3 linked regions of the Canis lupus familiaris genome follow. The protein of the gene in region 3 interacts with the protein of the main gene of each other region in a biochemical or structural test. Links are inferred from orthologs where the notes say so. Each region holds a gene or a part of one and is shown on either strand. Other genes may lie near its edges.

What was found. The genes of interacting proteins can lie anywhere in the genome.
Region 1: the proteins of UBE2S (region 3) and ANAPC2 form a complex in vitro, tested with the Homo sapiens proteins (3 studies listed by BioGRID and IntAct). The link is inferred for Canis lupus familiaris from reciprocal best matches to the Homo sapiens genes UBE2S and ANAPC2.
Region 2: of the proteins of UBE2S (region 3) and UBA1, one has a biochemical effect on the other in vitro, tested with the Homo sapiens proteins (8 studies listed by BioGRID, with this or other methods). The link is inferred for Canis lupus familiaris from reciprocal best matches to the Homo sapiens genes UBE2S and UBA1.

What each region holds. Positions count from the first base shown.
Region 1 is NC_049230.1:48,466,643-48,470,286, reverse strand, and holds part of ANAPC2 (anaphase-promoting complex subunit 2), read right to left. Parts: intron 3,074-3,644; coding exon 2,899-3,073; intron 2,479-2,898; coding exon 2,359-2,478; intron 1,965-2,358; coding exon 1,847-1,964; intron 797-1,846; coding exon 615-796; intron 301-614; coding exon 159-300; intron 1-158. UniProt on the Homo sapiens protein: Together with the RING-H2 protein ANAPC11, constitutes the catalytic component of the anaphase promoting complex/cyclosome (APC/C), a cell cycle-regulated E3 ubiquitin ligase that controls progression through mitosis and the G1 phase of the cell cycle.
Region 2 is NC_049260.1:41,007,033-41,010,359, reverse strand, and holds the end of UBA1 (ubiquitin-like modifier-activating enzyme 1), read right to left. Parts: intron 3,109-3,327; coding exon 3,020-3,108; intron 2,734-3,019; coding exon 2,641-2,733; intron 2,512-2,640; coding exon 2,320-2,511; intron 1,392-2,319; coding exon 1,290-1,391; intron 1,180-1,289; coding exon 1,079-1,179; intron 955-1,078; coding exon 819-954; 3' UTR 616-818; downstream 1-615. UniProt on the Homo sapiens protein: Catalyzes the first step in ubiquitin conjugation to mark cellular proteins for degradation through the ubiquitin-proteasome system.
Region 3 is NC_049222.1:103,047,655-103,051,788, reverse strand, and holds the start of UBE2S (ubiquitin-conjugating enzyme E2 S), read right to left. Parts: upstream 2,877-4,134; 5' UTR 2,706-2,876; coding exon 2,703-2,705; intron 2,159-2,702; coding exon 2,011-2,158; intron 957-2,010; coding exon 766-956; intron 1-765. UniProt on the Homo sapiens protein: Accepts ubiquitin from the E1 complex and catalyzes its covalent attachment to other proteins. Catalyzes 'Lys-11'-linked polyubiquitination.

The DNA.
Region 1 (3,644 bases), on a different chromosome or scaffold from region 3:
GCCATGGAGACCTGGGGCCTGCTCTATCCCAGCCTAGCGCCACCCCCTCACTGCCCCTGGCCTCCCCAAACCCCTGGCTGAGCTCAGGCCGGTCCTTGCTTGGCATCCCTGATGCCCCTCCCTCAGAAGCAGGGCAGGCAGCAGCTTGCAGGCCTCACCGCTCAGGACTGAAGCTGAACTGGTGCAGGAGGCGGTCAGCCAGCAGTGAGCGGTACTCGTTGATAAAGAGATCCTTGCTGCCGTAGATGCTGACCAGGAGACTGATGATGTCCGAGGAGCGCCGCTTGGAGCTGGACTTCCCTGCACAGCAGAGAGGGAGTGCCATCTGTGCTCAAGCAGGGCCCACCCTGCCCAGCCTGTGAGGCCCAGGCTCAGATCCCAGCTTGGGGGCAGGGTGGGCAGTGTATAGGCTGCCTGGGAACCCGCTCTTCCAGCAACCGGGCTGGGGACAGGCCACTGTGGGCCCACTCAAGCTGGCTGAAGCATTCGGGGGAACAGGTAGGGTAGGATGAGGCCAGATGACCCCCCGCAAACCTCAGGGCATGGTGAAAACCAACTAGAGGCCTGAACCCTCCCCCACAGTCCAGGGCCTGGCAGGGCTGGTGGGCACTGACCTGGATCGGCATCCACGGGGTCAGGGACCCAGTCCTCAGGCTCGCCAGAGTCATCCTCGCTGTCCTGACCAGTCTCCAGGCTCGCCGGATCGGTCTTGGACAGCTCAACAGCCAAGTCCCCTGTCCCGTCCGAGTCCCCTGTCAGCCCAGCCACAATCTGCCGCACAGTATCCTCCCGTGTCCTGCCAAATATGAGCATTGCTGGCCCTCACGGCACCTCTCCCTGCTCTCCATACTAGCCCACACCACCCTATCTCCTCGCCCAGCAGCCAGTGCCTATTGGCCACGTGCTTAAGCTGAGTTTACCAAATTTTGTCTCAAAGGATAATAACGATAGTGAAAATAACTAAAAACCCACCATCTTCCAGGAGCACCAAGAATTGAAATAAGACACAACCAGGGTGCGTGGGGGGCTCAGGAGGTGAAGCACCTGCCTTCAGCTCAGATCATGATCCCGAGGTCCTGGGATCAAGTCCTGCATCAGGCTCCCTGCTCAGCAGGGAGTCGGTTTCTCCCTCTGCCCTCCCCTGCTGCTGTGCGCGCGTTCTCTCTCACTCAAAGTAAATAAAATCCTTTTTTCTTAAGATTTTATTTACTAACGAGAGACAGAGACACAGGGAGAGGCACAAGCAGGCTCGATATGGGACTTGATCCCAGGACCCTGGGGTCACACCCTGTGCTAAAGACAGACCCTCAACCACTGAGCCGTACAGATGCTCCCATAGAAATAAAATCTTAAAAAAAAAGGAAAAGTAAGAAAACCAGGCCCTTCACAACCAAGAGATGGTAAACGTGAGTCAGGGCAGCTCCGGATGCCTCCCAGCCCCAGCCCTGAGCCTCCACTGCCCCAGGCGTTTCTGGGCAGCTGTACCACAGTACCTATTCAACACAATCTTTGACAGACCACCCAACAGCCTCTGCTCCTCGTCAGCCTGGGGGCCTGTCCAGCAAGGCAAAGCTGAGCGGGGGCCTCTCTGTGCTGGGAGAAGGGGAGGAGGATGGAGAGCAGGGATGCAAGGGGGGCCCCCCCAGTGTCTGCACACAGGTGGTGGCACTGGGCAATAGGTACAGGAGGGAGCCCTGGCCAGGCCATGTGGCCCTACAGGAAGGACAGAGTGTCCCTGGTGTTTCAAAGGCACAGGGACCCAGGAGGAGCATGGCTGCACAAATGGGTCCAGGAGACAAATGCTCCAGGTTGGAGCAGCTCCCTGGGGCTCACCTGCGGTACTCACCTCAGGTAGCGGCGAATGGGCTCACAAGCCACCTCCAGGATAACCATGGAAGGGTCCAGCACACGCAGGGCCTTGATGGCAGATATGTAGAGGGTGATGATGTCACATGTGTTGACACCTGCGGCCAGGATGGAGGACGGCAGTCACCACAGTACCCAGGACTTGTGGTTCCACGAGCAAGCAGCTGCGCCCTGGCTGGGCAGGCTTCAGGTTGTCTGTGTGACCTCCCTCCTCAGGACACCAGTGTGACATGCAGGAAGTAGCCTCCTCCCCGCCAACTCTCAGGTGCTCTCCCCAGAATTTTCCGAGATCCAAGCCCCCCCTCACTGGGTGGTCTGTTCTGAAGAGATCACATACCCCACCTGCCCTGAGGTCACACCCATCATTTCCTGTGACTCCCTCCAAGGGAAGATAAAGTGGAGTGCCCTGACCCTCCTAAGGGCTGCGTAAACCTGCTCCCTACACAGGCCCTGGGCTGGGGAGGCTGGACTCTCAGCCAGCAGCTTCAGCACCTGGATGGAGGAGCCGTGTCTCCAGGGCAGCCTTAAGGGACAGGAGCAGCTGCTGCCTCTGATCGGTCCTCTCCAGGCAGTACTTAAGGTCCTCAATGGCTGGCCGGGAGTCTGGGAAGTCTGTAGGAAGAGTACCAGCCTTTGTACATGCATGCAAATACCCAAACACACAGATGCCAGCACCCACATGCTGTGCACACAAGACACAAGGTCAGCGGAGCCCAGAGGGTAAGCAGCTGCACCTCCACTCTGGAACACCGAGAGACATCTGTTAGGTGCTTCAGGTCATCCTTGTGCCTATGCGTGCCCATCGTCCACCCCCACCCCCAACCCCGTGGTGCAGAAGGACAGAGCAGACATGAGGCTGAGAGGATGAGAGTGGACATTTCTGATGTCCCACCACACCACCCTGACCCAGACACTGAGCTGAGGTAGCCCATGCTGGTGGACGCCACAGTCCCCAGTGCCCCTCACTGCCTGCAAGATCTGAAGGGCAAAGGCCCAGGAAAGGTGGGCTACTGCAGTGGGCAGGGGGCCAACCTCGGATGATGCTGAAGAGCTCCTCGATGCGTAGGCTGGCATAGATACGGTAGAAGAACCTTTGCACGTGGCAGCGCCAGCGACGGAGTGTGTTGCCAGCCTCAGGGGATGCAGGCCTGGCTGGGCCATCCTGCAGGAATACCTTGCCCAGCCAGCCGACCACCCTCTCGATCCACTGTTGGAAGGTATGGGGAGGTAAGGAGCTGAGCCCCAGTCTGACGTGGACCAGAGGCCAGGAGAAGCTACACAGCGGCCCACCCTGCAGCCAGCCCTGGGGAGCCCCCAAGCCGCCTGCTCTGGAGTAGGATAGTAAGCCCAAAGGAGGCCTCCCAGGCCTCCCCTCAATGTGCCCCCACACCCTAAGACCTCAGTGCCCAGGCTTATCTCTGGCAATGGTGGGCCTGATGCAGGGCACGGAGAGAGTGCTCACCTCTGACTCGGTAGACAGACTCCCGGGGGCCACGCATCTGACTGGCCCCATCGTGTGCAGACAACGTGAGGACCATTCTGAACGCATGTACATTTATAGGCAACATGGCCACGTGGACCCCAGGATGAGTACATTCCCCCATAAACTATATAGCCACAGATAAACGTCTGGGTGCTCTGTTACATGGGAGCAACACAGGTACCCCAGCCAGGCCTCTGGGCTCACACCCACGTGAGACCACTGCCACAGAAGTACTTGCTTTGAATCCCCATCACAGCTAGGCTGCATTCTCAGGCAGAAGAAAACAGGCAAGAAA
Region 2 (3,327 bases), on a different chromosome or scaffold from region 3:
TGGAGTGGGAAAGGGGCTTTTCCTCTACAGATGTTCTCAGCCAAATATTTTCATAAAAACTTTAAAGTCTGAACAGTCATGATCTTCCTCAGTCCAACAGTTGTTTAGAGCCCCCTGTAGCTGGGAAGTTGACCTTGGGCACTTGGTCCTGGGAACCATGATTTTAAGACTTGTCTGGAGTCTCAGTGCTTTAAGCCACATGGGAAGGGATCTGCCCCCCAAGGACATAAGCCATGCTAACCAAGCCCTGGTCGACGGGTTGCAGTAACGTTCTTCTTCACGAAAGACAAGGTTAGAGAAGCTGCGGGGCTTGCTCAAACATGACTCTTCACTACCTCTCAAAATCAACATGGTGGTGGGGAGTTGGGAGCTAGAGCTGGACAAGATGGAATTTGAACCCAGCTCCAATACAGTCACATGGACCCAGCTACCTCCACCCTATGCCTCCATCCAATTCTTCCCAAACACGGAGGGTGGGAGGAAGAAGCGGCAATTCCCATTTTCTTTGCCCAGGCAACTGGCTGCTGGGGTGGGGTTGAGCCCTCTGGGCTACCACCTGAACTGGACAGCTCTGGGAAGTCTCTTCCTTCCCTGGAACCAGCAGGGAATGCCACGTCTGGGTTAATAATTCTTTATTAGGATTCAGGTTCCAAATAAGGTAGAAAGCAGCGGCAAGAGGGGTGCAGGGAGGGAGATGAGGAGGGGACACCAGGCGTGGCTAGCTGGACCACTGCCAGAGGCTTGATGGGAGCCCTGGGCTGGGGGGTGGGGTGGGGTAGGAGCCAGGGCTGGGGCCAGCCTATGGGCGTGGACAGGGGTCAGCGGATGGTGTATCGTACATAGGGAACCTCGACGTCTTCGCCGCTCTCGTCGTTGCAGCACAGCTCAAGCACCAGCGCCCGCACATGGCGGCCCAGCTTTCGCTTCGACACACGGCTTACGATCTCTGTCATCCTGAGGGGTGGGGGGAACAGAGGGTCAGGGAGGCAAAAAGTGAGGGAGGGCTGGGTGGCAGGGAAAGAGGCAAAGGGCAGCCAACTGGGCTGGAACAGATGTGAGCAGAAGCCCCCCAACTCACGGCTGATCCAACCGTTCCTTGAGCTTGGCGGCTGGCATGAAGAAGGAGTAGAGCATGGACACACCCTGGGACAGCATGGTGATCTCCAATTTATGCTCTGTCTGGAGGAGGGGGAAGGGGGACAGCAGTGTCACGGGGGGTGGGCAGCCTAGTGAATCTCACCAGCACACTCTGCCTGTGGGTGGGGGTGAGAGTGAGAAAGGGGCCTCACCTTAAAGTAGTCAAGGAACTGTTTGAGTGTCATCTCCTCACCGTTAGGCTGCAGACCCTGGACCTCAAAGCGATCCCACAACGTCCACTCCTGGTTATAGTACTGTGGGGCAAGAAGTGGGCTGATGGGATAGGGGCCAGCACAGGGCCTAGCCCCGTCAGTCTTGTCCTCACCCCTGCTGCCCACCCCCACTCAGGCTAATGTGCTCAGACTGCAAGCCTCTTCCATCAAAAACGTGGCTTCTCTCACAACTTGAGCTAGCAACCGAAACCTTTCGGTGACCAATGACTGACAAGCCTAGGCACTGGGAGCCTGTTCTGGCCTAACCTCCTACCCCTCATCCCGCCCCCGCTCTACCAACTTACTCTTCCTCAAACACACCAAGCATCCTCCTACCTTGGGACCCGTGAAGAGAATGGTCCCTTTGGCCTGGGAATGTTCTCCTCCCAGGAGCCTGCATGGTCTGTCTCCCTCTGGAGGGAGGGAGCCCAAGTCTGGGCTTATAGGTCATCTTTTCAGCAGGGCCTTTCCTGACCATCCCACAATTGAAGGCCCCATCCCATCCCCCTGCCACCTGGTAGTCTCAAGTCCTCCTTGCCCTGCTGTTTCTTGGGAGGTTCTAAAATCATTTATCATGTTATAAAATCTGTTGCACAAATACAATCCTACTACCTACAAGAGTATCTGGCACACAGGTGCTCAGCAAACATTTGAAGTTAATGAATAAAGTGAGTAAAGGTACTTGCCATAAGCACCCAGTAAATGTTGATTGCTATTATTATGTTATTAATAACCTCTTAGGGTACAATTAAAATATTCCATCTTTTTTGAGGGCTTCTACAGGCAGATTCACATCAGTGCTTAGCGCAAAACAGGGCAAGGAAATAAATGAATAAGGTGTGCACAAAAGGAGTAGGTGCATGCTGACAGAAACCCTCACCTGGTGATAGGCTATGCAAGCAAACTAAAGCCAGCTCCACAGAAGAAACCCCCTGCTCACAAACCTACCTGCCCTGATACAGGCCCTTACCTGGTGACGGGGTGCAGCAAGGGGTTCAGAGAAGCCAAAGAAGGGCAGGGCCAAGTTGAGGAAACCATTCTTGTAAGAGTCAAGCTGTCGGTGCCCATGCACCACTTTATACAACTCCAAACACACCAGGCCAACCACAGCTGCTGTGGTTGTGGCAATGGCTGGGATGATCTTCCCTGCAATCAGCTTGCTCTGTGAGGCAGGAAGATCAAGAAACACGGTAGTTAAGGTGGAAGCGGCTCAGAGCCTACATTGAATGAATGGAATGTAGAGAACTCAAGCCAGGGGTGAGGGGGGGAATCAGGTCCAGACTCCCCTCACCTTATGCCGGTCCGCAGGGGGAATGTCATAGTTCTCTGCCCGGAGGTTGGAAGCAGCCACAATGAAATCCATATGGAAATTGCTGTCATCATCCTTTTATGAATGAGGGAGGGAGAAGGGGAAGGGTGGGGAGAGGATGAGAGAGGATCAGTGTCAGAGGAGGAAGAGGATTCCTGGCCTCTGCAGACAAGTATCCTCCACTGCAATTACCTGCCAGGCTCTCAGATCACAAAGGCATGGCTGGGAACATCTATACATTCAGGGCCATATAGCAGGCCCAAGATCCAATTCCCATAAGGGCCTGGGGCTGCCATCAGATTCCCAAAGGTCAGTTCTGTCTAGCCCATCCCCCTGCCTGCCCACGGCTCCCACCCAGCACCTTCTCAAAGTCGATGGGATACATCTTGAATCCAGGGAGCTTTTCTGGACTGGGCAGTGTGGCCTTGAGCTCCTCTAGACGGCTGTCATCTGCAGGAAGAAAGGGACACCATCAGCCCCTTTAGATCCAGGCCAGTGTCTGAGGTGGAAACGGGGGCCCTGGGGCAGGGGGATCAGGAAGGGCAAAACATGTTCACGTAGAGAAGACTTGAAAAGGAACCTATCCTGGGAGAGAAAGGAGGTCCAGAGGGAGAGGCAGAGCAGGACAAGAGAGCACAAACCTGAAGGAGACAGAAAGGGGGTTGGGTA
Region 3 (4,134 bases):
ATTCCATTAAAAACAAAATTACTTTTTTTTTTTTTTTTTTTTAAGTAAGCTCTCCACCTAACATGGGGTTTGAACTCCCGATCCCAGGCCCCAAGATCAAGAGTTGCATACTCTTCCGACTGAGCCTGTCAGGTGCCCCTAAAAAACATCTCTTCAGCTTTAGTGGGGTGGGGAGTGGCCTTTGGGGATCATGGGTGTCTCCATCTTGGCTTGGCTGATACTGCTCTGTTGGGGCTGTGGAGCAGCACCCCTGGTTGGCCCCTGCTAGATACAATTACAAACCTCTCCTAACAATGCAAAACGTCCCTGGTGGTACAAATCACTGCTGTTTGAGAAACAGAAGTTTATGAAAATATTCTAGAACTATAGCAGTGACGGTTGCACAAGTTTTGTGATTACTATATACCCAACAACTGTATACTTAGAATGTTGAATTTTATATCATAAGTTATAGATTAGGAAAAAGCCCAACACCCCTAACCAAATGCTTGACTTGTACTATCAGAAAGTATCCTATTATACAAACCCATTGCTTGTTCTACAGCAAAGGTACCCCAGGTACTGCACCACCTATACAACCATACTTAGTGTCCTGGGTAAAGCACTGCCAATCCTCCCAGAACTTTCCAGCTGGAAATCTGGATTTTTTATATGGAAACTCCCAACTACTTCAGAGTTAGTTTTACTACAAGAAACAATGCACCATGGCTCTGACATCACTGGGACATCCAGGAGGGAGGAGGCCTGGGCCATCTCAGAACTCACCAGCAGGACATGCCGGATGCCCAGCTCAGCTGTCCAGTCCCTCTTGAGCACGTTGACGCAGATCTCACCGTTGGCGCCCACATTGGGGTGGAAAATCTTGGTCAGGAAGTAGCCCTTGGGTGGGGAGGCAGGAAAGTCCTTCCCCAGCAGGAGTTTCATGCGGAACAGGCCTCCGGCATAAGGGGTCCCCTCTGGAGGGAGGGAGAGGGGATTCAGTCAGGAGGCTCAGGACTCTCTGTGAGGCCAGTGCCTTGATACCTCCTCCACCAGAAGCGAGGTTCCCAGGGGCCCCATAGCCACCCCTGGATGCCTCTTCTCTCCCAAGTGTCCTGGTCATGTACCCTTCCCAAGATTCCCACTCACTTGCCTTCCATCTCCTTGGGAGGCCTGTAGGCAAGTGATGGGACTGTTCTGTCACTTCGGGTCTTCCCGCCTGCCCACCTCAGTGAATGGTTCTGGACCCATGTTGTTCCTCACGCCCTGGTCCCCCCACAATACCCTGCACCGTGGTAGCCTGGGCAGCTGACCTCCTGGTCTCCTCCTGAACCTGTCCTCCCCTCCTCTCAACTGAACACTGCAGTCATCACCTGTGCTTTAAATCCGCCAATGGCTTCCTTTCTGAACTCCTTCCAGACTCCTGCAAGCCCTAAACGTTCATCGGTCTCTTCTTCCTGTTCCTACCAAGTATCCAGGGCACCTGCCTCAGGCCCTCCCCTATCTGGGAGCAATGACGCCCTCACCACATCCCGCTCCTGACCAGGTTCTCCATCACAAGGTCCTCCACCACATGCTCATGCCGCCTCTCAGCTTACTTTGTGACAACAGCTCACTACATCCCTGCACGGTTCCACAGTCACGTGCGATCACTTGGTTATTACTGTTCCCTCCTGTGACACTGCATCTGGCTTGCTTCCCTCCCCTGTCTTGGGGGCCCACCCTCCAGGTCCCAGAGAACCCCTATCTGACAAACCCCAGTAAGGTGCCCATTAAATGCTCTCACTCCCTGCAGGAAAAATATACGCAATGCTCTGTTATTTGTGTGTCTCTGTGCAGCCCACCACTGTATCTCCAGCACCTGGCAGAGCCAACTTATAACAGGGGGTTCCTATTCTTGTTCTAGTTCTGGTTTTTAGGTTCCACGTATAAGCGAAATCATACGCTATTTGTCTGCCTTTCTGACCTACTCTTGTACTGATGGGGAGATATCTATAAGCACACCCATCCTCCTTCCAGTCCCACACTCACCAGGGCCCTCGATGGTGACCTGCAGGTCAGTGAGGTCTTCCTCGTTGGGAAAGACCTTGATGCCATCAGGCGGGTCAGCAGTCAGCGTTGTCACCTCCTTATACACCAAGCGAATGATGTGGGGGGGCAGGTTCTCCACATTGGAGTTCTGGACATAGAGAAAAAGGAGTGAGCAACCGGCAGAGCCAGGGCCTCCCGCAGATAGGATGCTAGGGCCATCCTGGTGTTGACCCGGCAGCCCCAGACACCCCACCCAGTACGCTTCTAGGGTCGTCCCAGGCTGGCCTCTCGCCAAAAATGGGGGCGGTCTTTCAAGGGGCTTGCGGGTGGGTCCGGTATCCCCCCTCCAAAAAAGATCCCGGCTGTGCCCGAGGCCTACCCCGGCCCCCTCCCCTACCTAACCTTGAAGAAACCTTCAGTCAGGGCTGGAGACGAATACCTTGCTCCCGGAACCCCCACGGCCCAGCCACAAAGCCCGAGAGCCCTCTCCGGGGCTCAGCCCGGCCTTCCCCTCGGGGAACCTGCGAGACGCCCAGCCTCCACTCCTGCCCGCCTCCAGGAAGGCCTGTGACCCATCTCAGGCCCGGGACACCCCCCAATACACACGGTCCGCGAGAGGCTCCTGAGACCCCGCCTCCTCCTCCAGCGGGGGCCCCCCGACCGCCTAACCCGGGCCTGGCCTCCGCGCTCACCATGACTGTGGCTGGCCGGGGGCGGGTCCCCCCGGCCCCTTTCCTGCTCTCTCCGGGCCGCCGGCTGGGGCGGGGGGCCCAACTGCTGCCGCTGTGGCCCTGGAGAGGCCCCGGCGGCCCCGCTCCGCTCCCGGCTGTTTCCGACGGCCGCCGCGCAGCGCGCCTAGAACTCCGCCTGCCCCAAGTACCCGGCCGCACTGAGCCGGCCGCGCGCGCAACGCCGCCCTTTTATAGCCGCCTGTAGGCCACACCCCCCCACGGTCCCGGAGTGCCGCGCCTTGACCCGTGATGTCACCGCGCACGGCCCTAGGCGTTCGAGGCTCTCGCTCCCTTCCCGTAAGCTGCAAGAAGACTCAGGAGAAGTTGGGGAGGGGGGCACGCGGCGGGCCGGCCAATGGGGACGCGCGGGGGTCGTAATGGGGTCCCTGGAGAATGGGGGCAATGCGGCGGGATGATGGAGGAGCAGAAGACGCGAGGGGGAACGCGCCCGCTGATTGGATCGTTTGAATGAGACACCTCCCTGGCCCGGCGTGCGCGCGCGTGCACTGACGCCCAGGAAATCGCGCACGCGGCTAACGGTCGGCCGCGGAGCCGGGGCGGGGCGAGGATGGGCGGGACTAGGGGGGGTTAAACGGATGATGGAAGGCTCCCTGGCCAATAGGGACGCGCAATCGTGGAATGGCGTCACGAGGCTCGTACGCGGCAGACCCTGGCGGAGAAGGCGGAGCCAGGGGACGGGGAGGGGTGGAGGATAGCCAATGGGGCTCTTCCCAGTGAAGGCCAAGCCGCTCGCAGCCAGTGAAATCCGTCAGTTTTGTATATGCAAATGAGGTACGCGCGGACCCCGGCCGGCTCCTCTGCCAGCTACAGTTTTCTGCGCGGCGCCATTTTGTGCGGGTAGTGCCGGGTGACCCGCGTGGTGCGTTCCGTGGCGCGAAAGAGCCGGCTGCGCTGCCGCGAGGGCTGAACCGCTGGTGGCCCGGCAATCGTGCCGGGCGTCAGTCAGGACGTCGGGTTTCTGTTAACCCCCACGTGGGAGACGGCCGCTGGGGCCCTTCGTGACGTGCAGGAGGGAGGTCGAGGCACGGCCCTGACAGTGAGGGGCGCTGGGCCTCTGCCCTGCACGCCTGCCCTGGGGATGCAGTGTCCCCGACGGGCCTCGGTGTCCACTCTGCAGGCCTGTGCTGACCCTGATGGGAATGGGAAGACCCCTGGCACCACCAGTACTCTCATGTGTGGGGCCCAGTCTCCGGGAACAGGACCCCCACAGTTGTGGAGGATTGGCCAGGCACTGAACGTCAGTCTCAGTATGCTGGGTACAGGGGACTCCCCCTGAGGAGTTCACAAGGACACAGAAGGAAGGGGTTCTCAGCTCTCCCCTCCCCCCGCCCCCCACCACAACCCAGCAGCAGGGACAAGGCTGAGGAGGTAG